2 linked regions of the Struthio camelus genome follow. The protein of the gene in region 1 interacts with the protein of each later gene in a pairwise test. Links are inferred from orthologs where the notes say so. Each region holds a gene or a part of one and is shown on either strand. Other genes may lie near its edges. The genes, in order: EDC3 and ANXA10.

Region 1 (15,235 bases):
ACCCTGGAGAAGCCAAGGAAACTCCGTTAAAAAGCAAGCACATGATTAAGTGCCATGCTAAAAAGGGATCTGGCCTCCCACTAGATTCGCCTGCTTTCAGTTGTTCCTCCACATGGGCTCAGAAGAGGGCAAAGGCAGCACATGAGTTTGTTTTCACCATTATCTACTCTCCAGTTATTCCTTCAAATAGGACTAACTTCTCTGGAACAATCTTTTCCAGGCTTTGCCTAGCTAGGAAAGGTATTCCACTCTGAAGCAAAAGGAAGGAAAAGTAGAGGGAATTTGCCTCCAAGGAACTCTAGGTATAACTTTAAGATCGACCCACAGAAGAAAAGGAGCTAGAATTTACAGTCTGCATCAGTACGATGGCAAAAAAGAGATCAACGAAGCAACTCTGTGTCTAGTATACCCTGAAGACCTTCTTGTAATATATATGGAAGCCTAGAGAAACAGAACTTGTTTTACAAAAAATAAAATAAAATAAAATATGGAAACAGCAGATGAAGTCAAACAACCCCCATCACCTGACCTTAGCCCGTAAGAACATTTCACACCTCTAAGGTTATTCTGTGCAAGTACATATACTTCTTTACAAACTCAGTCCTGCAAACGTTACTGAAACCGTGTGAACATTCATACCGAATCGCAGATGAGATTACACCATCATCAAATCATAAAAGAACTTAAGATAAGTGCAAGGCAGTTGCAAGACCTATACTTATACTACTTTGTGGAACAGCTTTTGATGTCTTTATCGCCACCATTCGATTTCTCTTCTCCAGACCTTTAGAGGGCAATAAAAGTACAAAAGCAAACAAACAAAGCACTGTGCGAAATGTTCTTGCTGAAGAAGAGTGGACATTGCAGTAGTAACTCAGGTATGGGAAAAGGAAAGTTGCAGGACAGCACATATACTTACATGAATTGTGTCTACGACGGAAGCCTTTGGACTGAGTCAGTGTTTCCACATGCCGATCCATGTAACTCTTGGAGCACTGCTGCTGTGGAGAGATGATAACATCCTGACTCTTCATGTCTGTTCTCCTTGGAATATTCTGTGGGGCACTGCTGGAGATGGGCTTCTTTAACACTTTTCCAGTGCCATTCTGACTGGGACCCACTTGGCATCCAACACCAGGGATGTCCATTTCCGTCTGCTGCAGATCCCCACATTGTCTATTGTCCCCCGGCCCTGGGATCTCCAGAATTTTTAGCTCAGTAATGTCACCTGCCCTAAAAACAGGAAAAGAGAACCAGACATTCTGGAATTCAGCGTTCAGGCTACTTTTATTAAAACAAACAAACCAACCCACCCTAGAGGAACACACGCAATATTCTACAATATTTTTTCTGATGCCAATATCAACAGAAACAAGAAAAAAAAAATGGATTTGATACACAGACTTACAGGACACATCCCACAGACAAAATATTCAACTGAAGTGATTTGAATCTTCAGAATAAGGACTCAAGTATTTCTTTACTGCACCCTGTTTTTGTTCTGGGTACTGTTCCCAGCTGAAACAGGAATCAGTGAAGCAGATGTGAACAACTCGCACAGATCTTTGCAGAAATCTGCCTTAATATAGCAGTTTCCAGATAATATAATTAATCTCAGCCTTCAGGCTACAGCTTCTTGTAATCCATTTCTACAGAAAGCAATTCTTAAATTGGTGCAATTCATGCTCAGCCAGGGATGGCGCTTCCAATTTCCTCAGAAGGGGAAACTAAAGTAGTACTGGTTACAAACCAAAATGAAACAAAGAAGTGATCACGAACACCTTCATTTGCACAGACTGCAAGAAATAAATTGGAAGTTATGGTCTTCTATTTTAGACCTGATAAGCATTGGTTCAGCTAGGGTATAAAATTAACAGCATGAGAAGTAGCAAGGACTTGACACAGACTTCCACACGTTTCCTGGAATAATATGGCCTTCTTCCTCTCCCATTCAAAAATCTCTTCAAAATCCTAGTTCGAGGAAAAGGTGATATTCTGAAATCTGTATTTAACCTTATTTAAAAATACAGTATCGTAAATCTGTATTTAACCTTATTTAAAAATACAGTATCGTTAAGTCTCACTGTAGCAAGCAAATTGCACAGGTAACAGGAAAATATCCTGTGACTAATCTCTTATTTTTCTTTCAAACACGATGTCACCAGGAGCTGGTGGGAGGGAACTCAGAACTACTACAGTACTGCTACATTGAATTCAGCTTCTTAGCTCCAAACCTTTCCAATAGTTTTCTACACCAATTAGCAGCCAGCCTTACACAGCAAGATTACCCAACCAACGGCAATAGTTTTTAGTAGACAGAAACGCTGCCTACAAGGAGACGAGAGTGTGGTAGAAGACACGAGATGGACTTAATGATTGCATTTAATCAAATGTAATTGCATTTGGGCCAATAACTTTAACTGATCTGCCTTCTCTTCTAACACGTTTTGAAAACGTACATTACATATTCTGAGGAAGAACCTTTAAGAGAATATGCCAATTCTCTCAACCATATGAAAACTCAACAGAGAACATGTACACCTACATGATACATACATACACATAGCTTCAGCCACAAACATCCTCCAGCTGTGAGCTATACCAGTTCTAACACTGTGAGCACAGAGCCAGAAAATAACAGTCTTCTGCATACAAATTCATGAAAACATTAGAGGCACTCTTCATCCAAAGACGCTCATTAGTAGTAATAAAATTTAAGGCAAAGAGCCCAGTTCTAGGGTGAGTAGAAAGAAAAAGAAACAAAAAAGGAAAAAAAAAAAAAAAGGCCTTGTCTGGAAAACAGAAAAAAGACACTAACCTGAAGGTGACTTCTGGCACGAGGCACTTGACCCCATTATGGAAGGGCCGTGTCAGAGAAATGGTCTGGCTGACCTGATCCACAGCAGACACCCGTCCTTGGTAGACTCCCAAGCTTTCTCCACAATTAATTGACACAATGCTTCCAAGCCAGTCTGTAGCCATATTTCTGGCACACAATTGCTGTAAAGTGAAGAGACACAGGCCTGGCTGTAAAAGATGCAGAAACTGACAACCTGAATCAGCATCAACTGCGCCCTCCCGGCCCCAAACGCTGGCTCCCACCCAGGCTCCAGCTCGGTCAGCTTCTCTCTTGTTTGTGAGGTGGAAATAACATCTATACAGCTACCAACACTCACAACAAATGTGTAAATCCCTGGACAGCACTTTGCTTATACATTTGTTTGCAACACCCATAGCTCTGTTGCAATACAAACGATAGCTAATGCTTGTATCACCCTGGCGAGTTTCCTATAACGTTGTATTTTTTTAAAAAAATTGGAGGAAATAATTTTGTAACTGATTTCAAGACTAAAAACTTCTAACAGCAATATCATTTGCTTAAGTACCAGATCAAGTATTTAGATCTGTCTGCATGCATTCTCCCAGAAGCTTCAAACGGTTAATTTTATCTTCCCCTCCCATTTTAAAGTTTTGGCCTTTGAATACTGGAGAAGAATTGCATTTGTGAGGACTTGGCAGCGAGAAGACCGATGTCTGCAAACACAGCTTAAAATCAACACTTTTAAGAGAATAGAAAGATACTTGGGGGAGGGAGGGGGGGGAGCCTCTTCAGTCCATGACAAGAGTCTCCATGATCTCCAGATAGTATTGGTACTACTGAAATAAATAAATAAATAGCATTGTTTTCCAGTAATTGCATTTAGTCTTGCAAGTATATAGGGAGGAAAAAAAAGAAAACCACACCACCACACACTGTGTAGTTAGATATTCAGACCTATAAATCTCTTGCAGTTTTGATGCCTGACTGAAACTGTATTTCAATCAACACACACTGAAGCAGCTAAGCACATCTTTTGATCTGATATTACTTCCTCCAAACAAGGCACATAGGAAAGTGACAGGCTCTCGCTAGCATCACAGTAGCATGAAAAAGCTGAAAAGCTCATAGAGGAAAATGACTACTCTGTGTCTGGGTGTATATACATACACACACACACACATACATACATACACACACACACACATATATATATAAAATGTCTTTTATGCTGTAATCAACAGTGAGAAGGAGAACACTCGATCAGAAGAAAAAATCCACTTTGACTTCATAGCTGTAACAGAAGATCATTCACTACTTTTACTGTCATTTCCCTGCCTCAACTCTGAATTTCTTAATCTCCTTCCTGAACTGATGATAACTTGCTCAGTTTGTGGGACATGCTGTAAAGAGCAGAAAGACAGAAAGAGGAGGAGATAATCCAGAAACAACTTGCTGCTTTTCTCAGAAGAGCAAGGCTACAGGCTGGAATTCATCAGCAGAAACACAAGTTGGAGAAATAAATAAATAAATAAGGTAACACAATACAGAGCTCAAGATAAGAGTGGGGTGGGGGGGGGGAACAGATTAACATCAATACATAAAACACCTTTCTGTAGAAATCATTTTAATTCTCTGGAAGCTCTTCATGTCCAGAGCTTCTTGGAAAAAGATGCAAAAGAGACTGGAAATAGCTACCATACATGGATGTTACTAGAACAAACTCACTTCCCATCCTCCTTCCCCCTTTTTTGAAAGACTAAAACCAGGGGCTGCTCGAAAGAGAAACAAACGCTAGATTTGGTCTCTAAGATCATGAGCTCTTTAGCAATGGCCTCCTCTTTCCTGTTTTTGTGTCTTTATATTGACCCACAACAACACGTCTGGGTTCCAAGTTGACGGCTGATTTAAAAAAAAACTTCTAAAACACAGATAATGCATTTCAGAGTATCTGTGTTAAAATGCATATTTCATTCTCTTTCCTGCTTTTTATATCTTGTTTGGGAAACAAGGAAAAAGTTCAACATACATCAGCACTTTAAAGGGATAATTTTTAAAAAATTAAGATAGTCTCTTTTCAGAAAGAGGGTATGTTTGGGGGCAGACATAAACCAAATCAGTGAAACTCCTAATCTCAAAAGGATCTCACTCTGTAGCTACTTTATATGCAAACCATTTAGAAAAGCGAAAGAACTACACAGGCAGTGAACGATTACTTAGCCACACGAGACACATGCAAACACGTTTGTTTACATACACCTGGAAAGTCAGACTTCCTGCCAAAATTATATTCTAAGATTTGCTGCTACCACCGGCACAGATATATGTTCTTACACACCTCTAATTTCAAATGTAAACTAGAGACACCTTTGACGCTTTTGCAAGTTTTGAAGGGAAGTCAACAGCCTCATGGTCTACTCAAACATATGTGTAGCGCGCTGGGGAAAGCAAAGACGCTTCGGAAGTGACTGAGCGCACGAAGAATCGGCGCCCCCGCACACCAAGCACACCTGCGCTAGAAAAAAAGGAGCTGCCAAGCCTGTGCCCCCTCTGTACCTAGCAGGGGAGCAGGGGAAGAAGGGGGAGCAGCTCGTGGGGGAAGGCAGGGGCCACCAGGCCTATCCTCTCTGCACCCGCGGGAAGAGCTGCCGCGGGATCGCTTCCCACGCCGGGAAGGGGAGGCCGGCTGAGGCCTGGACGCCGGGGAGGGGAAGCCCTGCGGAGGCCGGGGCCTGCCCCCCGCCGCCCCCGGCAGGCCGCGGACGGCTCCGCCTTACGGCCGCGCCGCCCGGGAGCGCCGGCGCCGCCGAGCCCCGCACCGGGGGCCCCGGCGAGGCCCGGCCCGCGCTCCCGGCCCCGCCAGCCCTGCCCGCGGCAGCGGAGGGAGCGGGGCGCCACCGCCTCACCTGCGCCGCCGCCGCCGCTCGCTCCCCGCCTCACCCACCGCCCTTCCGCCTCGCCGACGCCCGACGTCTGCCGTCACTTCCTGCCCCGCGCCGGGCCTCGAAGCGTCGCTCAAGCCGCCGACGGGCGACCATAGAGAGGCGCGGCGGAGCACAGGCGCGACGCATGCGCAGTACTGCAGCGCGCTCCCGCCGTCGCGGGGGGAGGCGAGGGGGCTGCGCTCTGCGCGCATGCGCGGCGGCGGCGGCCGTGCAGCGCCGAGCACCGGCAGGCGCGGGCGGGCGGGCGAGCGGGCGGCGGCGGCCTCGCTCACGCCTCCGCCGCCCCTGCCTCGCCGCCCTCGCGCGTCCCCCACCGCCTCCGCCACCCCGCATCACTGCCGGCACGCGCCCTCCGCCACACCCCGTCCGGCCCGTCGCACCTCCACCGCTGCGGTGGCGCGGCCTCCGTCACGGCCTTTCGCTGCTGCCACCTCTCCGCCGCCACGGTGGGCGCGCGGCCCCGGTCACGCCTGCGCCACCGTGTCACGCCTCACGTCCTGCCTCCGTCACCCATGGGCGCCCCCCCCGCCGCCGCCTCGCCCCGTCTCCGCCCCGCTCTCGCCACCGTCGAGGCGCAGCGCCCGCTCTGTGCCCAGTCGCTCAAGTGATCTGCCTGTTTCGGAAGGGAAGTTGATGCAAAGCCTCGGAAACCATAGTCCGCGGAGAGGGGGAAGCGCCAGCCAGAAGCGTCCCTCAGCCCGCTGCTTCCCGCCCCGGCAAAGCTCAGTCTCAAACCTACTAACTAAAGCAGAGATGCTGCCGCGTGAAAGGCAATTTTTAAGCTACCTGACTCAGTTTTTCCCAGGGGGACCAGACCATCGCCCTGGGGCTAGTCCCGGTTTTTAGCGAAAGCCGGAATTGGAGCAGGCGCCCGGCGTTACCTGCTGGCTGCCGCGGCGGTCAGCTGAGGTCTAGCGCAACTCTCTCCTCTAGGCGCAGAGAGAGGGTCGGACCCCACAGCAAAGCCCCCGTGGGAAACGGGGGCGACAGCGCCTGCCATCTGCGGACGGCCAGTTAATTCCCAGAATGGAAAAATCTAGGTACGAGGGTATCTAAGTCAGACTTGAGGATGGAAAAGACAAGAGGTGTGAACATTTCCCCCCCCCCCCCCCAGATCTTTCCCCAGGAGAATAAGACCAGCAAGAACCAAGCAAGAAACTTGCCCGTTAGTATTTATTGGTTAGAAACATTGTGCAATGCAGATAACATTTCGGCATACAGATGCATCCCATACAGATCGCAGGGAAAAAAAAAAAAAAGGCACAAACGGGCAGGAACTGCTGTTCCATTTGCCGTTATAATTTGTCCTCACACGAGCTGAGCAGATTGAAAAGCAGGGCAGAGTAGCTCCTGCCGTCTTTAAAGCCCTACTCTTTGTATTAGTCTGAATATATAAATCTTTTTTTTTTTTTGCAAATAAGTAAAAGAGGAGTTAAAATAGCAACAATGCATAGTCCAAAAGCAAGAAGCATTTTACTGTCTCCCTTGTTGGTTTTTGTCCCTTTTTCCTCATTCTTTTGATTTTTTTCCAGGAGGCTTATTGTTGAGAGTTGAGTTAATAACATCTCAGATTTGTGAACAGCTAGATGTATGTGTGTGTGTATAACATATATATATATATATATATATATTTGCTAGTAGTCAGACTGTCACTAAGGGTTGGTGCATTTCATGAATTTATATTTACGACATTTAGCTGTATGACCGTGCACTCCAAATGGCTACGCTTGAGATACTTCATGGGCAAGGGGTGGGTTTAGCCAGCCAGCAACGCCCCAGCTGCCGCTCACCTGGGCAGAAGCCTGTGCTGCCCTTACATGCCAGAGGGCCCTTCACAAGGAGGTGTGACATGCCCTCTCGCAAGCAAGTTGCAAAGACGTTCTGAGAAATCGGCCCGACGAATCTCTGCTCTGCTCTCCTCCAGGCTAACAGGGATGCGAGGAGCAAGCACGTTCCTCGAGGCGCACTGAGCCCAACAAGGCCGTCTTTATCCGTCCCTGTGCGCTCGCTCGCATTTACATGAGAGATGAACGAGCCCCCAGTGAGGCGGCCCAGTGACCGGCTGTGCTGGCTGGGGAGCAGCTCCTTCTAGAGAGCGTTAGCTAAAGCAGTCCCAGTGTCTGGCTCAAAAGGCTGGCTTTATTTCGCAAAGTGGTACTTCCTCCCAGGGCTCCGCAGCTTATGGAGAGCTCTTCACCGGGAAGCGCTTCTTAATCTGGAAGTGCTTGCACTTCTTGTACTTCATTGTCAGGCCGTACTGAGGAGTGATGTCCACCTCCTCCCCGGCGCAGAGGCTGAACTCCAGCTGCTGAAGCAAGGTCGCCAGGAAAAGGAAGACCTCCAACCGGCCAATGGACTCCCCGATGCATCGCCTCTTCCCCAGGCCAAAAGTCATCACTTTGTCAGCCTCGTTCCGGTCTATTTTAGTCCCGGCAGCGCTGAGGAACCGCTCTGGGTTGAAGGTTGAAGGATCCTTCCAAAGCTTCCTGGAGCAAAAAGGAGAGGTGACTGAGAAAGCCGTTTCCCCCCTCCACAATAGGGACAGCAGGAGAACAAATCCTTGCAGAGAAAAGCATTGCAATCTTTTCTCATTTCGCTGTCCAAAAACTCTGGCACTCGGTGGTGGCCTTTATCAGTGATCTAAAATGCCAGTTGCATGTCAGCCCCTATCAGCTCAGTCTATTGAAACAGACTATTTCAAACTCAGATTGTGTTTGCCTATGCAGATACCAGGGGTGAATTTAGTTTAGCATGCAATATCTAGAGGCCCTGCAGTTTCAGCTGAAAGGAGACCACAGAAACCTGCCAGCACCTTCTAAAAAGGAAGGATTCAGACCTGACCGTTTATCGTCTTGAACCTTTCTAGCAAAACTTCATGATCTGTCCAGTTGCAGTTCTGGTGCCTGCAGGATTGCTGCTCGCAGACAGAGGGAATTCCCTCTGCCACACAGCATGTTCCCCCTGCAAAGGAGGGCAATGTGCACTGGCATGTGCAGAAGCGGCAGGAATACTTCTTTGTATCAGAATAGCTCAGCTGCACAGAGGCCGAGTCTCGAGCTTCTCAGCTAAAATAACTGGTGGGGGAACAACCTCCTGTTTCAGCCATCAGTCACTTACTCCCTCCAAGGCCGCCTCTGCTGTAGTGCAGCGGACAGGTAAGACAGGGCTTTGGGCTCCAGAGCCCTTTGCATTCACAGAAGCTGATTATCAGAAAGGGTGACGCAAGTCTATTGAGTCCTTAATGCAAGAAGAGAATTGACCCTGTTAGTGATGGTCACGTCAGCAGTCCCTTCTGACAGGGCATTTTTCTGCCTGAAAGAGGGAACCAGACAGTTTCTGCTGAACACAGAGCTGTCAGCTTGGCAGGAAGATGTACCGATTCCTGACTATTCAGCAGCCAAAGCTGCCAGCCCTTCGAAAACAGCCACCGCGCACACGGGGTCAATCCAACGCGCTGAGGACGCCTCCAAGCTGCTGTGCAAAAAGTCAGTAAAGCCCTGGCTGCCGGGGAGTCGCTGAGCTGGCGACTGAATCAGTCTGTGCAGTCCAGAGCACCTCCACGCGCAGGAGAGCTCACCCTGGCATCTGCATCAAATCCCCACTGCTTTCGGTCTGACCTGTTCATCCCTGTTCTCATGACCTGTTCAGCTTTAGACGTGTTGCTGTAAAGGACCGATCTGAGCGATCTCAATGCCAAGCAGACCTACTGCGCTCTGAATGAGAATGGGAGATTTGGCGTACTTACTCATCATGATTCACTTGCCACTGGTTGATAAATACACAGCAGTCCTTTGGGATGTAGTAGCCATTCAAAACGGTGTCTTTTGTTGTACTGAAAGAAATAGGGGTGCAGGAGGATAAATTGAGAGGAAACCTGCAGTTTTAGGGTGAAACAAAGGCAGGCAGGTTCTAGAGAAGTATTTTGTTTTCAATACCCTATATTTATTCTTAGGACTCGCTAGGAAATACCCTGCCTTAATTGTATTTGAATTGGGAGATTATAAGTACTCTTGGTTAATGCTTTTCCTCAAGTGGAAAGATTCCAGTTTCACGAAGCTGAATGAATCATGACATGGTTTCTCCCAAGGCAGGTGGAAATATGAAACCAGGTGATTTAGTCACGACCCACTGTCCTACCACTAGTGAAGGGTCTGAAGCGAAATTGCCCTCATACTAAGAGATTCAGCCCCAGGTGAGCAACAAGCAGGGCAGCTGCTGGCCTCAAATTGGGCAGTGAAAGCAGCCGCAGGCACCGATGCAACTCAGTAGTTGCGCTGACGGTGACTGTCAAAGCCATGGGGAGGTTTAACCCAAGGAATTTAGGATTTGCATCAGAATATCTCCCCACAGCCTTCACGGAAGTAGTCTACAACAATAACAGGGATCAATTCCCAGGCTATTATCAGCATAAACAGCACCTCCCAGAAAACCGCTCCAAAAAACAAGTTAACGCGTCAGTCGTTACAGTGCTTACCAGTGCGGGATAGTGAAGGGCAGGAAGGAAGAGTGCCTGAACATCTCCAGGATAAAGGCTTCTGTGCGCGGCAGCGTGCCTCGGTCAGACAGCCTCGGTCGCCTCTCCTGGCCGATGGTGTGATCTGCGGGTGGTTGAGAGGAAGAAGCTGGTTGGAATCAGCCTTTGGCAGAGACATTTCAGCCCTGGAGGAAACGGACTCATGAACTCACCTATTTCTTCCTGGATCCTCTTCTGGATGTCAGGGTACAAGGCAAGGTACATGAGACTCCAGGACAGGGCAGTTGTAACAGTGTCAAAACCTGTATGGACATAGAAGAAAGGCATTTAATTACCTAGAGAAGACAGGCCAGAGGACATTTACAGATCCCATCATTTACAGATCCCATTCTAGATTTTTTGGCCAGTGACACACAGCTAATATTTGCCTTGGAGCTGTTCCCCCATCAGCTATCTCTGGAAAGCCATCTGCTCTGGTCACCCGTCAGAAGAGCATTTGTGAGCCCAGCTTCAGCCCCGGCTACCGAGCACTGTGAGAGGTGCACCTGGACGGCTTCGGCTCCCCTCTCCACCCTCTGCCGTGACCCTCAGCTCAACTGCCAGGGCTAAACAGCAGCTCTCTCCAAAGCTTGTCTCAGGACTTTTGAGGCCTTTCTGGCCATAAGGCTGTTGAAGGACCTGAAAGTGTTTGGCTGCCTGCAGTAGCGGATTACAGCTCTTCAGCTGCCACATCAGGAGGGCAGCTGGGACGGGGACAGCAGCATGGCTTTAACAACAGATGCGTTCTCACCTGCCCCAAAGAGGTCGTTGACAATATTGATGATCTGCTTGCTGGAGAGCGGGACACCGGTGTTCTCCCCTGCCTTAGTCTCCTGGCAGTGCTCGATCAGCGAGTCCGTGATGTCCCGGATGTGCTCCTGAGGGAACAGCCAGAGTAGTCAGCTAGACCAGAGAAATCAAGGGCTGGAGGAAAACCTCTCCTCCCAGCCAATGCAGGGCTCCTGATGGTGATCAGCTACAGACCCACAAGCTCCCGTGAGCTTTCCTGTGCACCCTGTGAGGGGGGTGGACACGGGAATATCCTCTTCCCCCCTTTCTGGGCCAGACAGACAGCAGCCGTGACACTTGCAGGCACCTCTGCCCACAGAGGCAGGATCAGATGGGGCAGTGACAGAGGCAGCAGCTGTTTGGCCTGCCAGGTAAGCAAGGCTGTATTACTCTGGGTGACTAAGAGCCAGTAATATATTAAGAGAGCCATTTTGAAAAGAGTTAGAGAAAGCGGTGCCAGCTACAGGAAAATCAGTATCTCCAAACACTTTGCCACTTCCAGCAAACAGCAGCACTGGATTTGATTTTTTGAGCTTCTTCGAGAGAAGCTCCATTTCATTAGGCAAAAAGTGGAGTAAAAACTTCACTTATGCTCTCTGACTTGTTGCAATGGTCTTAAGGAACCAAGCTATGAAAGATAAAGGCAACAACAGAGTGAGGAGCAAAGCAAAGGTTGCCCAGAGCAATCTCCAAATTCTTACCCTATCAAAGCTAGTGTAATGCTGCTGGACGATTTTTTGCACGAAAGAGCTGAATCGCCTGTTGAGGTCCTTAAAAGCTTTCATGGCACGGCTGGGAAGATACTGGAGCACAGGGATGAAGTCAGTAGGGTTGCCAGCAGCAGCAACCTCTCCAAACTCATTGTTGAGGTTTACCAAGCTGAGCAGCTCTTGGTCGTTGTGGTCGTAACGCCTGCCAAAGCACATGGCACAGATGACGTTGGCCACAGAGATCACCAGGTACCGGTAAGGGTCAAAGCTCTTCTCCTCTTCCATCACCTGCAGGAACTTGGTGACCAGGTAGTCGGCCTCCTTGGAGACGTGCTCCTCCAGGAGGCAGGTGGAAGAGGAGGTCAGGCTGGGGGCGATGGAGAAGGTCTTCAGGGCGTTCTGGGCCAGCTTTCTGCGGGCTTTCCACACCTCCCCTGAGTCTGGGCTGAAGGTAAGGCTCTGGCCATTTGAAATGTATTGGAAGCTGTGGAGATCAGGGCGCCCCATGAAGTCTTCTCCTTGCTTCACCAGGGCTTGCTTGATGGTGTCGAGCCCGCTCAGCACCAGCACGGGCCGGCTGCCGATCCTGATCTCCATCACGTCCCCATACTTCTGGCTCAGCTTGGTCAGGGCCAGGTGCGGGTCCTTCCTCAGCTCCAGCACGTTGCCGAGGATGGGGTAGCCTCTTGGTCCTGGGGGTCTCTTCAGCCCCTTGGGGACGTGCTGCCTGAAGGACTGGATGAGCAGGAAGACCAGGCAGAAGACAGCAGCCACAATGAGGATCTCGGTGGCCGAGATAATGCCTTGGCTTCCCCCCAGCGACATTGCAGCCTTCGTTGCCACTGGCGTTTAGAAACCTTAATATCAAAAAAAACAAAAAAGAAAAAAACCCACACACATATTTTGGAGGAGGAAGGTCTAGGAAGCATCTGCAGTTTTGAGACACTTATTTAGTAGGGACCGCACAGGCAATCTGTAGTTGCTGCATTGCTTTTCTGCGCTTCAGCACCTCTGCATACTTCAGCACTGAGAAATATTCCCCTACGTCGTGAGCAGAGGATACTTATGTCCAAATCAAAACAGTCTCGCATTTGTCTTCACCAAAAAGTCATTAGAAGATGAAGCAATATTCCCTTGTCACCCTCTCCTGATTGGCCTGCCAGATTTAAGTATCTTCCTAAAGGCACTAGTGCAGCTTGCACTTGCGGACAATAAAAGCAGTGCAGCCAAGAGCGAAAGGAATAGGTCATATGGCTTTTTCTCTGCATGCCAGGGATAAGAAACGTGCTCTTTTAAGTAGAGAAATTCTCTTTCCTGCTCTAAAGTCTTTTCAAGAGACTATAGAAGAGTTGAATTGTCCTGGTTTGAGTCATCTGGTTGCTTGCACTGAGCCATCGCTTACCAGCAAATTAAACAAAGCAAGCAGGGGTTTTGTTTAGATTATCACAACTCTTACAAAAGATAGATGACCAAGAAAGCTAGCAAGTGCTGTAGTGGGACACTGGTCTCTAATGCTCCATCACTGGTAACCAAAAGGGCTGGAAAGAGCAAAGACCTTTTCCCAATGCATGTCCCCAGAGCCAGTGGGTTCAGTTCAGGGATGTCTAAACAGCTCTGATGTGTCAACGCATTTCTGGAGAGGGAAGAGCAGGACCCTGCACTGCCCTTTGGGGTTGGTAGGTGGGGGGCACGCTGCTCCCAGCTCTGGCAGAAATCCCTCAGGTAAACCCTGAGCCACAGGTAGAAAAAGATTGGGTCTGACATCCCACCTTCCCCTGGTTTGAAGGCACTAGAGCCCACTGTGCTGCTCCCCTCCGGGACTCAGGGCACCCGGGTCCCATGGGATCACCTTGGCTTCAAATGCAGCAGGTCCTTTGGTAGCAAGGAGCGCTATGGGGCTGCCAGGGTCCCTGTTTCAGTTAGGGAAGGGGCATTTCAGCCCTGCTCGAGCAGGGAGAGCCAGCCCCACGGGGCAGCCCAGCTTGGAGCCGGGACCCCCCTCCTAGCCCACGTCTGCAGAGCCAAGCTGCCTGGGGCAGTGAGCCCTGGGCAGAGGGTCCTGGGGCAAGGATCCGCCAGTGTAAGCCTCCAGGGGCCCCGGCTCTTCCAGAAACCGGCAGCTCAGGGAAGGATGCTGTGAGCTGTCTGGCAAACTATGGGGCCACCGCCAAAGAGGGCATCCCACGGGTTTCCAGCCTGTGGGGGTCCCCTGGGAAAGCTGTCAAGGAAGAGCTCCTGGACCCCTCCCCACCCTCCAGGCGGAGGGCTCTGTCCCGGAGCTGGGGGACAGTCCCCGGGACCGGTACTCACCTCTCGGGCGAGCAGAGCCGCCGTCCCTCCAGGCAGCCAGGGGAGCGCAGGGGCCCGATCCTGCCGCAGGTACCCCGCCGGCCCTCCGTGCCTGCTTTATATGCATCGCCTCTCGCCCTGATTGGCCCAGGAGCCTCCCGTCACGTGTCCGAAGCCTAATCAAAGCCGACGTGCGGCCAAACTCCCAAATGATTAACCTGGACCGACCCCCCCCCCCCGATACCTCGCGAGGGGCGCGGGCAGGGCCGGCGCCGGGCAGCCCGCGGCGGGGGGGGGGGGACACGGACAGCGCCGTCCGCAGCCTCTGCGCCCCCCGGGCTGCCGCCCCCGGCCCGGGGCGGGGGGCTGCGAGCTTGTCCCCGGGGGAAGGGGCACCCTCCTCCCGCGGGGGTCTCCGGTGCCGCCGCGGAGGGAGCGCCGCGGCCCCGACGGCGCGGCCGGGCGGCCCGGGGGGCGGCGGCGGCGGGGGGGGGGGGGGGGGGGCCGGAGCCGCACGTCGGGCGGCGGCGGGAGGCATCGCCGGGTTAAAGATCGGGGCAGCTCGCGTGAGAAGCCGCTTGGCTCGGGCTCCCCGCTTCTCGCCGTGCAAACAACAGGGCGGGGAGGCGACACGGGAGGCGGCGGCCCCCGGCGCCCCGGCACCCCCGCGCCGGGGGCAGCGGGGCGGCGGCGGCCGGGGGGCGCCGGGCGGGCCGAGGGGCATCGCGTGCGAAGCGGCCGGGATGTTTGGGCAACCTGCGCCGCCCCGGCCACTCGCAGTCACGCTACCGGCAGGCTCTTAAAGGCGCCCGGCCCCGCGGCCAGCGCCCGCGCCCCGCCGGCTCGCCGCCCGCCGGGCAAAGCCCCCCTCCCCGGGGCGGCGGGGCTGGCCGGCAGCACGGCCCGGCCCGGCGCACCCCGCATCCCCTGCGCGCCCCGTCCCTATGTGCCCCGTGTCCTGCACCGCCCGTCCTGCTGGGGCCAAGGAGCCGCTGGAGATGGTCGGGACTTTCCCGGGTGACTGGCCGAACGGGGGCTCCGCAGAGGCCGAGGGAAACTTGAGGACTTTGGGTATGTCCCCAAGGTCGCATTCTGCAAGCAGGCCTGAGCACCGAGACCTGCCTGCTTCCTGCTCGCGGGCGAGACCGGCCGGAGCTCTTGCTCCAAGCAG
Region 2 (15,026 bases), on another chromosome or scaffold:
GTCGATCACACAGTTTTTACTCAAGCAAAAGATCCTTTAAGCTTGACGGTCCACAGAGCCTGAAGCTGACGAAAACTTTGCCAAATTTCAGGCCTCATCAGCCTAACTCACTAAGCAGCAGTAAAATATGCAGGGTACAGCTCAGCATGAGACAATCTGTAAATAACTACGGTTATGAAAGGACTTTGCCTTTAATTTCCCTCATTTGAATGTCTATTCATTCCACTCCTTAATCTTTTGCTCAGTTTTAGTGTAATTTTGGGAAATAAAATAGTTTAAAGATAAACAAGGGAACCAGGATTAGACAAACTATCGAATGCAAAAAAAATTTCCAAAAAAGGAATAATAAATTAAACAAAGCAGAATTGTTTTAATGTACACTCAATCTTTGAAGAAATCTAAGTGCTATGCATTTGTTTGACAAATGCGTATTGTATTTCAAGTCATAAAACCAATTACAATGACATTTCCTTCCATCTGTACTGCAGTTTACTGTGCTATCCATGATTAGACATTTTAAATTAACTTCTGTAAAAAAATCTTCTGTGAACAAGAATAAAAATCACCTCAGTTTATAAATCAATTAATCTCTAATATCAATTATCGGTTGCCACAGCAATAACTGAGATTCAGGAAGTATGCATTTTGCTCCTTTGGCATAGCCAATATGCTTCTCAGATAGAGGCACAGCAGAAAGAGTTAAATATCTGTAGGAAGACAATACTCTGGTCAGATATTTATCGCACTGGCATTTACACATTGCCATTAAAGTTACATGTTAACACTTAATTATGTTTGACTGCCTCCTTTTCCTTCTCTTAAAGTAAATAGTTGGAAAATTTTTTTGTAAGAAAAAATTTGTTCCATGCTAGTCAGATGGACAGTTTTTGAAATAATGTGATTTTCCTTGAGGTATTAGTTTAGCCACTGACATTTTTAAAATATTTTTATTGCATTCAACCCAAATCTATATTTAAGGTGTGAAACATTAAAAAGCACCCAGGACAATTCAAACACTACCATCCCAATTTTGTTACAGGTTCTGCTGAAACACTCTTATACAGCTTTAATAAGTTTGTAATGAAAAGTTCTTGCCTAGAAGTGTAGGGTTATTTTCCATTTAACTGCAAAGCTTTGAGTATGTAAACGTAGCGCCTTTCATAACACATTTGTTAATAATATAATGTGTGTGAAATAAATTTTTATCCTAATGCTTCCTCAAGATTCAGAAAACGGTTACAGGAATTTCACAGACAGACTTGTCAGCAGAAGTGAGGTCCAAAGAGCAAGAAATCTTTCTTAAAAATGGATTCACATGAACTCCTTGCATTCCCACATACAAACTGGTAGAATTAGTTTTAATGGCCTTAAAGCATCCAAGTTCCTCATCCACAAACATTGGAACTGTGCCATGAAACAAGAACAGCTCTATAATAGGGAAGGAGAACACTATCAAATTAGAAAAACGCAGCAACGATACATCTAAATAACATCTTAGAATGATATATTCTTCCATGGTAAGAAGCTAAAGCATGTTTATGAGAAGAATATACTCCAGTCAGCTCCCCAAATCAAGTGATCAGAACCTCAGGAAGCCCAAGGACACATATCTCTATCCTAGGGCTCAGCCAAAACCTAAACAGGTTAAAAATTAAAGAGGTATTAAAAAAAGCTGTAAACTGATGCATTTACAGTGGCAAAAAGATTCTACTTTATAAGATAAAAATCACAAAGGAATCCCCATATTCATCTGACTAAAAACAAAATCACTATTCAAAAACTTTAAAATTGCAAAAACAATGGCAATCATTATATATAAATATACATGTATAAAATATATCTCCATGCTCACTCCCTCTTGCCTAACAGTAGAATAAGTGAGGTTTGCAGATCTGAAAGAAGTAGACAGAAGAAACAATTGTTCCCTCAAATATTCTTCTTTTTTTATGAGGCTTAGCGGGGTCTCTCATATTACCAGAATCACAATCCAAAATACATGGACTGTCAATAATCTTTTCATCACACTTGAAAAGCTGACCCAAAAAATATAAGAATCATTGGCTATAAGCATCGTTTCCTAACATTGTTACAAACATAAGCCAGTTCAAGCTTAGTGACTTTGAGCTGTATTCAACATCACCTCCGAAAGCTCTTTAATTGCTTTTCCTAGATATGAACTATTTCTGAAGTGTGTGAAATTTCTTTAAATCATTCTTCTCCATTAATTTTAGCATTTTTTCTTAAATCAGAAACATCTGCTTTTGATCTGCTATAAAATTGTTCTTTCTTTTTTAGACAAAGTATGCTGGAAATCACCCAGATCCTCTCTTGTTTTACAGCTCATAAAAACTTAAAGTCTGTTACCAGTTCTTTAATTTTCCCTCAGTTTTCAATGGTTATTCCTGCAAGACATGCCTTAGATAACTACAAAAAAATCTGCTGCTGATGAAAGTGTCTATTTAAAACAAAAATCATCAAGCTTTCTGAAACTGAACTTTCAAATTAGGCCATAAATTTTAGAGCTCCATTCAACAAAAGAGTTTAGTCACCTGGTTATGCTTTTAGGCAGATGAGCCTATGTGACACTGATTTTTTAAAATTCTTGTCATATGCTCCCTGAACATAGCTTGGTCCAAAAATCTCTTAAATTCTTACTTTTTTTGCAAACATTCACATGCACAACTAGTCTTGTGCCAAACGTACGAATATGCTGGGTGCCTAAATCAGAGGAGGCATTCTCCTACCTATCTTAGTCGTGCTAGCATTTCCTGAGCATTCTCATCAGTTGTGCTTCCCAGCAAACAAACTGCGGGTGATGGTAAAAGCCACAGTAGCCAAATTAGGCCACTCCCCATAGGCAACACTGATTTTTTTTTTTGATACCATTCTTTGAGGGTCTGATTTTTCCTGAAACATGTAAGAAGTTGCAGTACTCTGGTCAAGGGACATCAGGTTTAAAATTAGACCTTACTATATGTAGTCCTGCAGTATAGATCTGTATACATCTGCACACTCCATGGATCTCAATCATGTCTAAAACACAAGACTCATTGTCAGATCCAGCTCCCATAAAGAGGCCAGCATCCTTATTCCCAATGCCCTAATGGAACAGGAATAAAGAAAGTTTTGGTCCTTCTAGTTCCACCTAGCTTAAATAAGCAGGAAATTCAAGCATGTGAGTGAAAAGGGAGAGGAAGAGCAATGTCTTTTAAATACATTCCAAATACTGACAATCAGGGGACCTGGACCATCAACAACGCTACAGAGGATATCTGCCCCATATAATAAATATTGCCTAAGAATCTACTAGTGCAATCCCAAGCTCCTTCCAAATAAAGCTAGACTTTAGCATGTCACTTGAAATTCAAAGAGCAGATGAACAGAATTGTAAGTTTAACAGTGATACAAGCTTGTTGGCCTTGTATACGTATTAACATGGCAGCTTAGAAGAGGATAGATCAATTGGACCTGTATTTTCAACAGCCCACAAACTGCTGAGATGCTGTGGGCAGACATAGTATGAATTTCACTGATGAAATTCAGTGACAAGTTTCAGGCATTAAAGAGAACTTGCTAACATAAGCAATACCCACTAGAGTCACTACAACAGCGTATCTGATTATCTCACTGCAATACTTGCAGTAAGAGTAACGATTATACAGCTGAGCCCGAAATCTGTGCGTTCATAACAAGAAACATGAGTTCACTACAGCATTACGTCAGCTCCACTTTTGCACAAGAACCAAAGCGCCCACTTTTTGTTGCCGCTAGAGAGACGTAACTAAAACCTGCCATCCCCAGAACTAGCAGCAGAAGCACCGCACAAACCATGAGCGCCGACAACGAGCAGCGGCCCGAGCGACGGCCGCCCGCCAACGGCCGCCCGCCAACGGCCCTCCCTTCGCGGCACCGCAGCGGCCAACGGAGGTGCCCCTCCAGGCCAGCCGCTGCAGGCGGGCGCACGCTGCCCTCACTCCGCCTCTTCCCGCGAGGCTCTGAGCCGGCCCCAGCGCCGTTCCCGTGACTCGCAGGCGCCCTCCACACCGCCCGCGGCTCCCACCCTCCACCCCCGGCAACTTCGAGCCCGCCCGCCGCATCACTAACCTCATAAGCAGCGCTGTCGTCGCTGCCGCGCCGCGCCACGGTCGCAGCGAGCAGAGGCCGCACGCTGGCCCCTGTCGCTGCCGAGTGAGGCTTCCGCCTGTTCGCTCGCTCGCTCGCTCCTCGCCTAACTCCGAGGCCGCCACCACCTGCGCGTCAACCCCGCGCAGGCGCTCCCCGCCCCACGTGAGGCCCTGGCCCCGCCCCCGGCTGCCGCCTCGGGAGAGCGGGAGACGCCCTGGCGGCGCGCGGCCTCGCGGTCTGGGAAGTGGAAGTGGGAGGTAGGTAGGTACGTACGTACGTACTCAGAGGTGTTAAAGGGAGCAGTTTGGTCTCTCTTCTTGCTTTCTGTAATGTACAACGTCATATTTGGAAGGGAAGGTGTCTGTACTAACGGTGACGCTGGTAATTTTGAGGGTTAGAGTTTTGTTTTTTTTTTTTTAAGTGTCATAAGCGTGTAGGTGTTCTGTTTTGGGCAGCTAGTGTGCAGACTGTCATAGCTTACTATTTTTGGCTGAAGTAGAATCCTAGGTAATTGCTGTTTTGCAATAGTAATTGTGTTATACTACCTAAGAGGACTCTGAAAGAGCTAGGACAGTTCTAGGAATGTAAAAAGAGCGCTGCAAGCCTAGCATAGTTCACTGGTGACATAGAGGACTGAGAACTACTGCTCTCTAGGCCCAAGACTTTTCATTTTCTGCTGCAGACAAACCACCAGAAAGTACAAGTATGAAGTATATTGATGGGATAGTGAAGAAGGTCTTCATTGCAGAATTTTACATTCACTAAATAATAATGTGCCTGCTGTTCCTAGAAACTATGCCCATAATACCTTTCACTATCCAATGTCCCATTCAAACCCTATTCTGTTCTTTAAATGCCTTCTCTTTCATGTGATTAGCCTTCTAGCACTGCATACATTCCACCATTTAAAAGCTTTCCTTTTCGCAGTCTGATCATGGAGTTACTTAAAAAAATTTCAAACAACTCTAAATAGGAAGCATATAGAAGTAGATTATGCAATATGATCTTGCATTGTGGTATTCTTGTTCTTTCCAGTCTGCTACCACGGTTTTTTGTTTTCCTTTCCTTCTTATTTTTTATTTTAATTAGCAACTTGAAATCAAAACAGGGGTTACTGCTATGAAAGATATTCAAATTTATGCAAGGTGGGTTTTTTGTGATAATGGCTGCAAGATGGTAAGCCATCACGCCACATGCTCCCGCATGTTCATCCAGAAAGGCAAAAAGCAGCTGGCTGTAGCCCTTCCAAGGCACAGTTTGCCAGTTCTAAAGTCATCCGAGTACGTGCTATGGCCTCCTGTGTACACATACTGTGCTCAGAGCCCTTCTCAGAAACAGGGCAGAACTTGACCCAGGCAACCGTAAGAGCAATTCACAGGCAAATAAGTGCCCAGAGTTTCTTCTGTAATATAAATACAGACTTGAGAGTTGTCAAAGTTATTTTTGACTCATACATCCTCCAGTGAGTCATTGTGTTAAGGTTCTTACTACCGTATCCTTCCTTTTATCATGATGAATAAGTTTTTACGCTTGCTTATAAGCTCCTCCAGAGAGTGTAAGTTCTCTTCGGTTTTCTGAAGACACTGCAGAACAATAGCTGGAGCTTATTTTACCAATAATGTGAATTTTGTTTGTAATTAATGTGTGACTGATATGCTAGATTCTTGTTTTTAGGAAAATGAATAGACTAATTTGATACTAAATCATTTTTTATTTCTCACTTGAATTAAATCATTCTTTCTTCAAAGTATATGGATTTCTAATTAGAAATTAATTATGGCTAGTTATTTTTATTCAAGGTTTCCATTAGTACAATATTGAAATTATCAGTTGCAATGCCTAAGCCTAAACAGTTCATAGAGTAGAACAGGGAGAAGTTTGAAAAAGAACCTTTAGCACTGGTGAGAAATGCCACCAGCAGGAAGGACTTCAAGAAGAGGGACTGACCCCTTCTTACTCTTACAGAAAAGAAGCAAGCCTCTCCAAAGAAGAAAAACAGGTAACAAACTGAGAGAGGAGAAAATTAAACAGGAACAAAAATGGGAAATTCTAAACAAAAAGAGAGCAAGTAACCAGGTGTCCAAATCAGTAATAAAATTCTCACCCTGTTATTAGGTGAGAATTGATTAAAAAATTAAACAGAGGGAGAAACAGAAAAAGAGAATGCTGAGCCTCTCACTTTTTATCCAGTCCACCATGAAATCAGGACAAATTATTTTTTTTTTAATTCCTCTTGCAAAAGCTTTTACTTACTTGAACTGTTCACACATCTTTTACTTTTCTGTCTTTAGTCTAAACAAACCAGTTCTTTCTGTCTTTCTGAGTTATTATTTCTGCTCTCTTCTATGCTCTCTCCAGCTAGTCCATGTTGTCTTAAGGTGAGATGGCCAAAATGACTTGTAATGCAATTCTCCGGTGTTCCCCCCCACAAAAAACAGGATAAGCTCCTACCCTAGAAATGATTCACACCTCTGAGCTGCTGCGTCTTGAAAAAAATATAAAAGTGAGATTAGGTTCAGCATGTTCACTCTGGAACACAAACAACGGATTAGTTTTGCTAAGCATTACATGGAGAAATGTATGTTGCATTTCCCTGTTGAAAACCTTGCCTCTTGCCTTAGAGTGGGGTGGAAGGCAAGGACAGCCAAGGGACCTTCACAAGGAGGAAGGAGTTGAAATGTCCTCTTCTGTTGAACGTTTTGTCTCAAGACTCTGTCTGTCATGGCTTTTCCCAGAAAGATTCATTAAAACCAGAATTTAGTTCAGTAATCGGCTAAATGCTTTCCTCATGTTCAATGGCCAGGAATTAGCACAGAATCGTGAATTTTCCTCTACTAACTTAGGCCCTGTGGTCCCTAACCACTAAAGGTTTTGACACGAGCAGACTAAAACATTGTAAGCCTGTAAATTTAATCCATTTTGGGTTGTACTGAAGATTAACTGTATTGCATTTTAATTACTTATCCCAGCAAGAAATGTATGTGAAACGAGAGTCTGCGAAAGAGAGGCTTAAAATGTTCTCATATTCTTATCACTGTTTAAAACTATTAATTATCAGGAGTCTACATCCCACCCTAGCTTCTGTTGCCATCTTCACCACCTTGTATGTGCCGTCTTCCAGCTGGCCAGGTCCGATTCTTTACAGATCATTTTGCTTAGCTGTAAAATGGGCTATGTTCCCCAGCCATCCTCACAGAGCACTTGAAATACAGAGGTGTAAAGCAAGTACTCAGTATGATTATATAGAAAAAGATGATCTGCCATAGCCCTCAGGAAAAAGGAAAAAACAAAGATATGGCAGTCTGAAGCCCATTAAGATTTTCATGTTTCACAAGCATACAGTCTATGAAACTCTTCCAACTGTCTATAAGGACAGACATGTAATCTCTATAGATAATAAACACTGACATGCAGAAGTTTATATTAAAATCAGTACTGCAGAGCTCCTACAAACCCAGAGATGGTTCTTAATGATTAGACAAGTTGCTAAGATATTGAGGCTATGAAAGAAATCTTTTTTTTTCTTCTTTCCAAAGTCTTCCTAAATTGTAATAAGAAACCTCCGACTTTTAATAAGCGCTACAAAGCATGTGATGGATATAGTAATAAAAGCAATAAAATTAGAAGTCTAAAACTCCTGTCCAACTATTTCAGTAAAATAAACTCTCTATACTGACACCCCATCAGGATAGCGGTAGCCCATGTCTTCCGTTCATGTTGTACTAGATACAGACTGTTTCTGTATGTCTATTTTAAATTCCTCTTTTTGAGGAAACTGTGTTTTCTCTTTTCTTTAATATGGTAGTAGATATCATTAATAGAAAAAAAAAAAAACAAGGTAGCAGCTATAAAAATGTGAATTTTGCTCTCAGTCTCTACAACCATTCTGCATAATTCTAATAGAACAATGTTACAGTATTTTTGCTCATCTCTTCACAGAGTCTTATAAGGTTTAATTTGTCTGAAAACATCAAGGGAGGGCCTCATCTGTACAGTTCCACTGAGACTCCAAAGATCTGTCCTCGTTACTCCAGGTAGCATATGAGGGCTATACAGCGTATTTCTATTCATGCCAGGTGGAAATATTTTATAGAGTAAGTGATGACCTGAGTGATTCAGCAGAAGGAAAAAAGGAACTAGACCACAGCTAATGCTGAAAGTAAATCATTAACACAAGTAGTTTCTGTAGGTTAACATTTCATTCTGTGACTGGCTGAATTCTGATTCTTAAAATCAACACAGCAGAACAGAGGGTGTTGTGCTATTGACTCTGTTTACTTACGTAATAATCCTACTTATTCACATATGATTAATGACTAAGTATACAGTGCATCCGTAGAACCTGAGGACGTGCAGTACCAGGCGCTGTTCCTGCTTCATTGTTACCTTGGAGCCTAGCATACTTGATATCAGCTTGATTGGATGGTTTCTCTCAGTTCTTTAAAATAGAATTCAAGTTGACTATAACAATCTTAGTTTACTGAACTGTTAGCTTTATTCTAGGAAAGTTGCTATTTTGATCTCACCGGAACTTGGAGACTTGTATCAAAATGTATTGTGGAGACTATGTGAGTATAATAATCTGTTCTCTGCAATCTTTCAAAATTCTTTTCTGCTCTTGGGTTGCCACACATGTTGGGAGCCATTTTCTTCTACCGGTAGAAATTAGTTTACCTCTGATGAAGTTAATTTACTTGTTGTTTATGTCTAATTCTGGGATTATTGCAGTATATACAAAGTATCTGAAATGAAGAATAAAATGTACAGAATTAACAGTTCTAGTCTCATAATTTTAGGCCTTTCAAGACAAAAAAAAGATCTTTTACCTGTTTTTGAGTTTCCTGCACTTCCATGTAGCTGTAACACAGACACAAAATTGTATACCATCACCAAATGGTATTAAAAATAAAAATATGAGTTGTTCAGATGATACTGATGCATGCTGCTGTTTTGGTGGTTATAAATTTTTACAGTGCACATTTTGTGTAATTACATGAAGTAACTATATAATTTCATCATTCATAAGCATTTCTTTTTGCTGGCAATGCATTACATTCTAAAAGTGACAGATATTTTAAAGTTAAAAAAAAAAATGCTTCCTCTATAAGGGCCATAACTCAGGGGAAGCTATCAATTATTGTTCCTAGCTAATATTTTATAGCAGTTGAGTGAATGATTCCTTCCTCGTCAAGAAAATAAATGTTCATACTGCAATTTTAACTCCTTATTCTAAAAGTTACTATAGTTATTTTTTCTGACAATAAAAGAGGAAATTGCTTTCTGCGCCTGGCAAACAAATAATTATGTTCTTAGGGTCATTCTTGTTCTTTTAATTATTATTAATAGGAGTAATGATTTATTCTTCTTGTATGCTTTCTGCATGTGCATTCCCAATTAATTTACGGCTCAATGCAGAATTTTCTAAAGGATGAGCATTTTTTTGTTTACTTACTTTATTTGAAGGCATAATTGCAGTAATCATTCTAATCTCACCAGTGAAGTATTTGTTCCTAGAAAACTATGTTGCATATATTTATTTTTCAGAGAAATAGGTATTGAATCGGTTTTAATAATGTGTTTAGTTTTGATGTAAGATTTGGCATCTTGCATTGCTTACTAGACCTGAGCCCAGTTAAGAAATGAAAAGGGATTTTTTTTTCTTCTTTTGCTGTTTTTTAATCATTTAATTACTATGTTATCGATATATTTCTGATAACTAAAGCAAGGCAGGAAGAATTAGCTTGCCTGATAAAGCTGGTAGATTTTAATTACTATATTATTAGCATATTTCTTATATATACTAAGTTATTAATTACATTGTTATTAATGTATTTAATTACTAAATTAAAGTAGTTCAATTACTAAAGCGAGGCAGGAAATCCAGCAGATAAAAGCTAGTAGATTCATTTCATTTTGAGAAATTAGGGAGTTCAGTTTCATTTCTTCAACTGATTTATCAAGACTAATTTTATTTAAATAATTGATACTGCATCTGTATATGATATATTACCTGGTATTAATGTTAGTACATTATAACATAGTTTGTAGAAGAAATAATATCACTTTTATGTCATTAAAATTGGTAGATCTATTTGTAAGACAATAATATTACGATGGTTTGATAGTATTATGAAAAAAATCTAATAGATTACATGTTTATGCTTAACTGTGGAAGATATTTACATTAGTATTTTAGCCTTGCTTTAATGTAGTCACTGTGTGTTAGTCAGCCCTAAGGACCTCTTTACCGGAGAAGGAACTGACGTTCCTAACTTTGATCCTCTGAACTACACCAGAGTAAATGGTGTGAATATCATCTTTCCATTCCTTGCACTTCTAAATATGCAAGGACCTACTGGTTAACCCTTTAATTATCAATCGCAGAAGTAAAAGAGTAGCCAGACAAGTGTAGACAATGGGGTGCAGCTTAATCTCAAGAAAGACATCGACATCTGACTACAGGCTTTAGCTGAAAAAGTACGGTGAGGTTCTCAGGTTAAGTAAATTGTTATTCTTTATTTCCTTTTTCTCCATGACTTGTGGGATGAGAAGGGAGAGAAGGCATGAAATAGTTCAGCGGTTCCTAACGAGTGAAGCAGACTTGCCCACAGAGGTATCAACACAGAACGGGGAGATGTCGTGCAAAGCCCAAGCAGACATGCCCCTCCCGATGTCCGCAGGTTCCTCAAGATTGAGTAGGTCATGGAACAATGGATATTTTCTCAGATGAGTCTCAGCAACAAAACAGCTGGAAATCACTGATCTAGAGCATTAGCAAATCGCAAGCAAAGAAAAAGCAGGGCTTACACAGAGACAGAGTGATGAGGCTGAGTCACGCTGACATCTTGTCTGCTCTCCTTACGCACAGCCTCAGATTGAGAACTGAGTTTAAAAGCACAGTGTAGCTCCAAATAAATTTTCAGGAAATCACAGTATATTAATATAACGTTGGTTTAGAAGCATAAAGAAACATAAAAAAGGAAATAAAGTGTTGCTTTCAAAATTATTAATTGATTCTTTAAGATGATCTTCTTTATATTTGATATTATACATACATACTAGTTTTTGCATATGCCACATATGAATGACTGGATGGGAGGTTACCTTGACTGGAATCCACAAAGATTAGGAATGAGGTGTAGAAAAAAATCACTGCAGCAGTTCTGCCAGATTCAGCAGCATAGTGTGGCTGAATCGTACAGAAAATGGCTCAGCACAGTACATGCAGAGGTGAAGCTACCAGAAATTCGATCAGACCTCCATGTCCTTTCTAAAATACATATTCAGAGAAAGATGGCAGCTTTTGGAGGAAAAGAATGAATGTGTTGTGTTTAAAAGTATCCCTTTCATTACTGTATCGTATATTTTTCGAAGGAAGTGTACCATCTGTAACTTTCACAGTAAGTCAAAATGAATTGTGGCATTTTTTATTAAATGATAAAGTTGCACGGAAAAGATATCTCTGTAAAAAGCACAACTAACTCATAGCATAATTAGCCTTTAGAGCAGGCATTTTATTTTAGTAGATATTCCCTCTTGGAAACATTCAGACTAAGGAATCTGACTTTGATTGTTTGTTATCAGCAGAATGACTTACTGAGCAAATATTACTGGAAGGTTGTTCACACTTTAGATTGCTTTTTCCGTCACAAGACTGAATCGTCTGAACTTTACACATTATAATTTGATAAAAGCAGCCTAAGCTTTTACTGATACTTTTGTTGAACTGCTTGCAGCTTTGGTCAGTGGTAGGAAAAGCTACAACTTCCTTGCTCTTGTGCAGAAGTACTGTGCAAGTATTATTTTTCAGATTTACTACAAATTTTACAGTCCTTTTCCAATCTCTGTCTTTCTTTTGATTCATTCAGCTAACACCGTGCAAACGTGTTCAGTTTTCACATCTACTTTGGAATCAGTTTCTTTTAAAAGAGTTAAATGCCTGTGTGCAAGCAAACACAGTTATGTAGGTATAAAGTGTCCAGCTGGACCATCTCTGTGGAATTACATCTGTGTTCTTGTAGATGAAGGTATCTTGACATCAGAAAGAAGACTGGGTGTTAAAATCATTGAATCCCCCTCTGGGGACTTACTTGCTTTAGGTACTTGGATACTTTATGTGAAAAAGCAAGATATCCCTGATTTTCTTCCTTCTGGATAATAGATATGCTTTTCTTTAAGATACCGCAGAAGAAAGATGGTATGAAAAGCATTTCTCCGTGTTCTTGTTTAGCATCTGGTCTCAGCTAACCCAAAAAATGACCAAATTGCTTTCAGAAATAACCAGAACTTTGCTCATCTGCTCCCTGAAGGCATTTTCTTTCTAAGGCAGAAAGCCAAGCCGTGCTGAATGCTATCTTTCTAAAGAGTGCTCTAGGAAAATGGTCTACATGGACTATTAGAACCTGGATATCAAAATTAAACCGGTATTTTATATTACAGGGTTCTTTGTACTCTTTCAGTGGAGCATACCAGGCGTTTTCCCTCTGGTTTATTCAGAAATTGAGGCTTTATTTCTTTACATTTGCCCATCCTTCTGTCCCTACCAGTAACTTTGAACTTGTTAATTAATTTCTGTCGAACTAACAGAGGAATGGCAGTCTGTTCCAAGTTTTGTGAAAACCAGCTGCTCAATGGAGGTGAGAGATCCAAATTGTTCTTCCACTTAGAAAAATACAGCAGTTAAGTTTAAACTTTGAGTTTAAACTGATTTACTTTATTGGCATAGCATTAGCCAAGCAGTACCTGCATAGTATGGACTAAACCACAGGGCAAGCCATCTTTTACCTATCCAGTGGTAGACTTGGTAAGCACCTGACAGATTGTGAATGTAGGTGGAGAATCAAGGAGAGAAAATTAACTGATGTTTTGGTAGGAGGAATTTAGTAGGCATATAGAGTCAAAAGAATCTGTAAGAAAACAGTTGTTACTAGTTTCAGTGCTTTCAGAACAGCTTGTTAAGTTACAAAAACATATTGCAAAACAGGCACCAAACTAATATCCACAACATTTGTGTTCTTGCATCCAGACTGAATAACCAAATGTGACTTTGTTCAGCCTAAACCAATAAATGAGACCTTTGTGTGCACCTGTGACAGTGAATATTTTTGAACGCAGACAACTTGAAGGTACAGCTCAGTAAATTAAAGTGTCCTTACTGCTGTGTGTAACGCACGTGTCTGAATATGTGCACAGAAAAATATGGGCCATATCCACAGAAAAATGGCTGAGCTGTGACATGGTTCATTATGACAACGGTGGGAACATGCAGTGTATTAGTAATGAGGATACCTGAAGCATATCTGGGTGAAAGAAGAGTTAGGACCTGACCAAAGTTATATCATCAACTTGTGCAAAACAAAGTTTTACCAACTTTGGCAGAATTATGCACTGTTACACCGACTGAGGATCTTGCCCATATTTCTTCCATATGCTTTATAGATCACTACTTCCTTAAAGCAAGGTTTGGTTGTTTTTTGGTGGCTGGTTTTTTTTTTTTTTTTTTCAGAAGGACTATATTTAACCATGAAAGAGCTGAATAATGAGCTGTCTACACTGACATTGATCTGGTTCCAGGTGCTTGCAAGTTCAGTCCTGCATTCAGTTTCAATATATGTTAATGTCCCTTTGGGAAGGTGTAGTTGCATTCAGATATTGGAGAAATAATAAACACCTTAGTTATAGGATCTTCCCTCGATTATTATAAATACAAGCTATTTAGAGGAGGAATATTTTTTGTGTGATTGATTTATGATTGGTGAAGATAAACCACCTTGCTGTAGCTCCCATCCGTAAATTGTAATTAGGCACACTTAATGTCCACAGGCAATAACTTTCACTTCTGGGCAAGTATCACAGTCTGTCACTGCTAAGAGTCTAATCTCTCAGACTCCACGCTCCTTATACCTTTGCTGATCTGCCTTTCAGAAAATGAAAATGCATAAATGAATTACTCCTGAAATTCAGTCGTCATATTTTGATAACGCGCGCAATTCTTTACCACCGTAACAACCCAAATAATCACAATATGTACAGCAGAAAACAGATGATCTGTGATAGAAGTGTCAGGTCTGTGCCTGATCCTGCAAAAGGTGTAGCGCTGTTGTCAAAGTATATAACTGGAATTGGTGTGCACCTCACAGGACTGACCCCCAGAGTGTTATACAGGTTTCTTTATTACTCTGTCCCACGTCACTGAGCCAGTGGGTGCTTAATTTGCTTACTTATTTTTAAAATACTCTTGGAATAGTTTCTGTTAATTTTTGGCTTTGGAGAAAACTTGTCATGGAATCGTTCTGATTGGAAGGGATACTAGGGGGTCATCTAGCCCAGCCTCCTAATCAGATCAGGGTCAACACTGATTTCAGACCAAGTCAGTCAGAGGTTTGTGCAGTCTGGCCCTGAAAACCAAGGACAGAGATCCCACGCCTCTTCAGGCAACTCGTTCCACTGGTCATTTACCCTCATATTTAAAAAAAAAAAAAGAAAAAGAAAGAAGTTTCTCCCCTGTTTTAGTTTATGCAGACTGCCTCTATTTCTCCTGCCGTGCACCTCAGTAGAGAGCCTGGATCCATGTTCTCGATGTCTTCCCCATAGGAACTGGGTGACTGCTGTTGGGTCCCCCCCTTGAAGCTGGGCTGAGTCCCTTACCTTCACCTCACAGGACAACTGCCCCAGCCTCTGAGTATCTTGGTGACTTCGCTGAATTTGCTTCAGTTTATCCATAAGCTATCCTCACTTTCCTCAGCAAGGTGTCAAACAGTCTGTGCCTGGCAGTTTTGCGCACTAAGGCCAGGATCCAAAGCTCCCTGAAGTCAACAGAAGGAGCTCCACTAACAATAGCCATGAGATTTGGATAAAGTCCTAGTGCTAAAAATGTTAAGTGATCCAGAAATGTCCCTGTT

The links.
Region 2: the proteins of EDC3 (region 1) and ANXA10 interact in binary tests that used the Homo sapiens proteins (3 or more experiments, as listed by UniProt). The link is inferred for Struthio camelus from reciprocal best matches to the Homo sapiens genes EDC3 and ANXA10.

What each region holds. Positions count from the first base shown.
Region 1 is NC_090953.1:23,449,446-23,464,680, reverse strand, and holds the start of EDC3 (enhancer of mRNA-decapping protein 3), read right to left. Parts: upstream 6,280-15,235; 5' UTR 6,144-6,279; intron 5,883-6,143; exon of another isoform or gene 5,725-5,882; intron 5,324-5,724; exon of another isoform or gene 5,157-5,323; intron 3,001-5,156; 5' UTR 2,983-3,000; coding exon 2,819-2,982; intron 1,234-2,818; coding exon 920-1,233; intron 1-919. Other genes in the region: CYP1A1 (cytochrome P450 1A1), read right to left, coding at 7,943-8,249, 9,509-9,595, 10,238-10,361, 10,450-10,539, 11,028-11,154, 11,767-12,600. UniProt on the Homo sapiens protein: Binds single-stranded RNA. Involved in the process of mRNA degradation and in the positive regulation of mRNA decapping. May play a role in spermiogenesis and oogenesis.
Region 2 is NC_090945.1:44,488,327-44,503,352, forward strand, and holds the start of ANXA10 (annexin A10), read left to right. Parts: upstream 1-8,347; 5' UTR 8,348-8,675; coding exon 8,676-8,693; intron 8,694-15,026.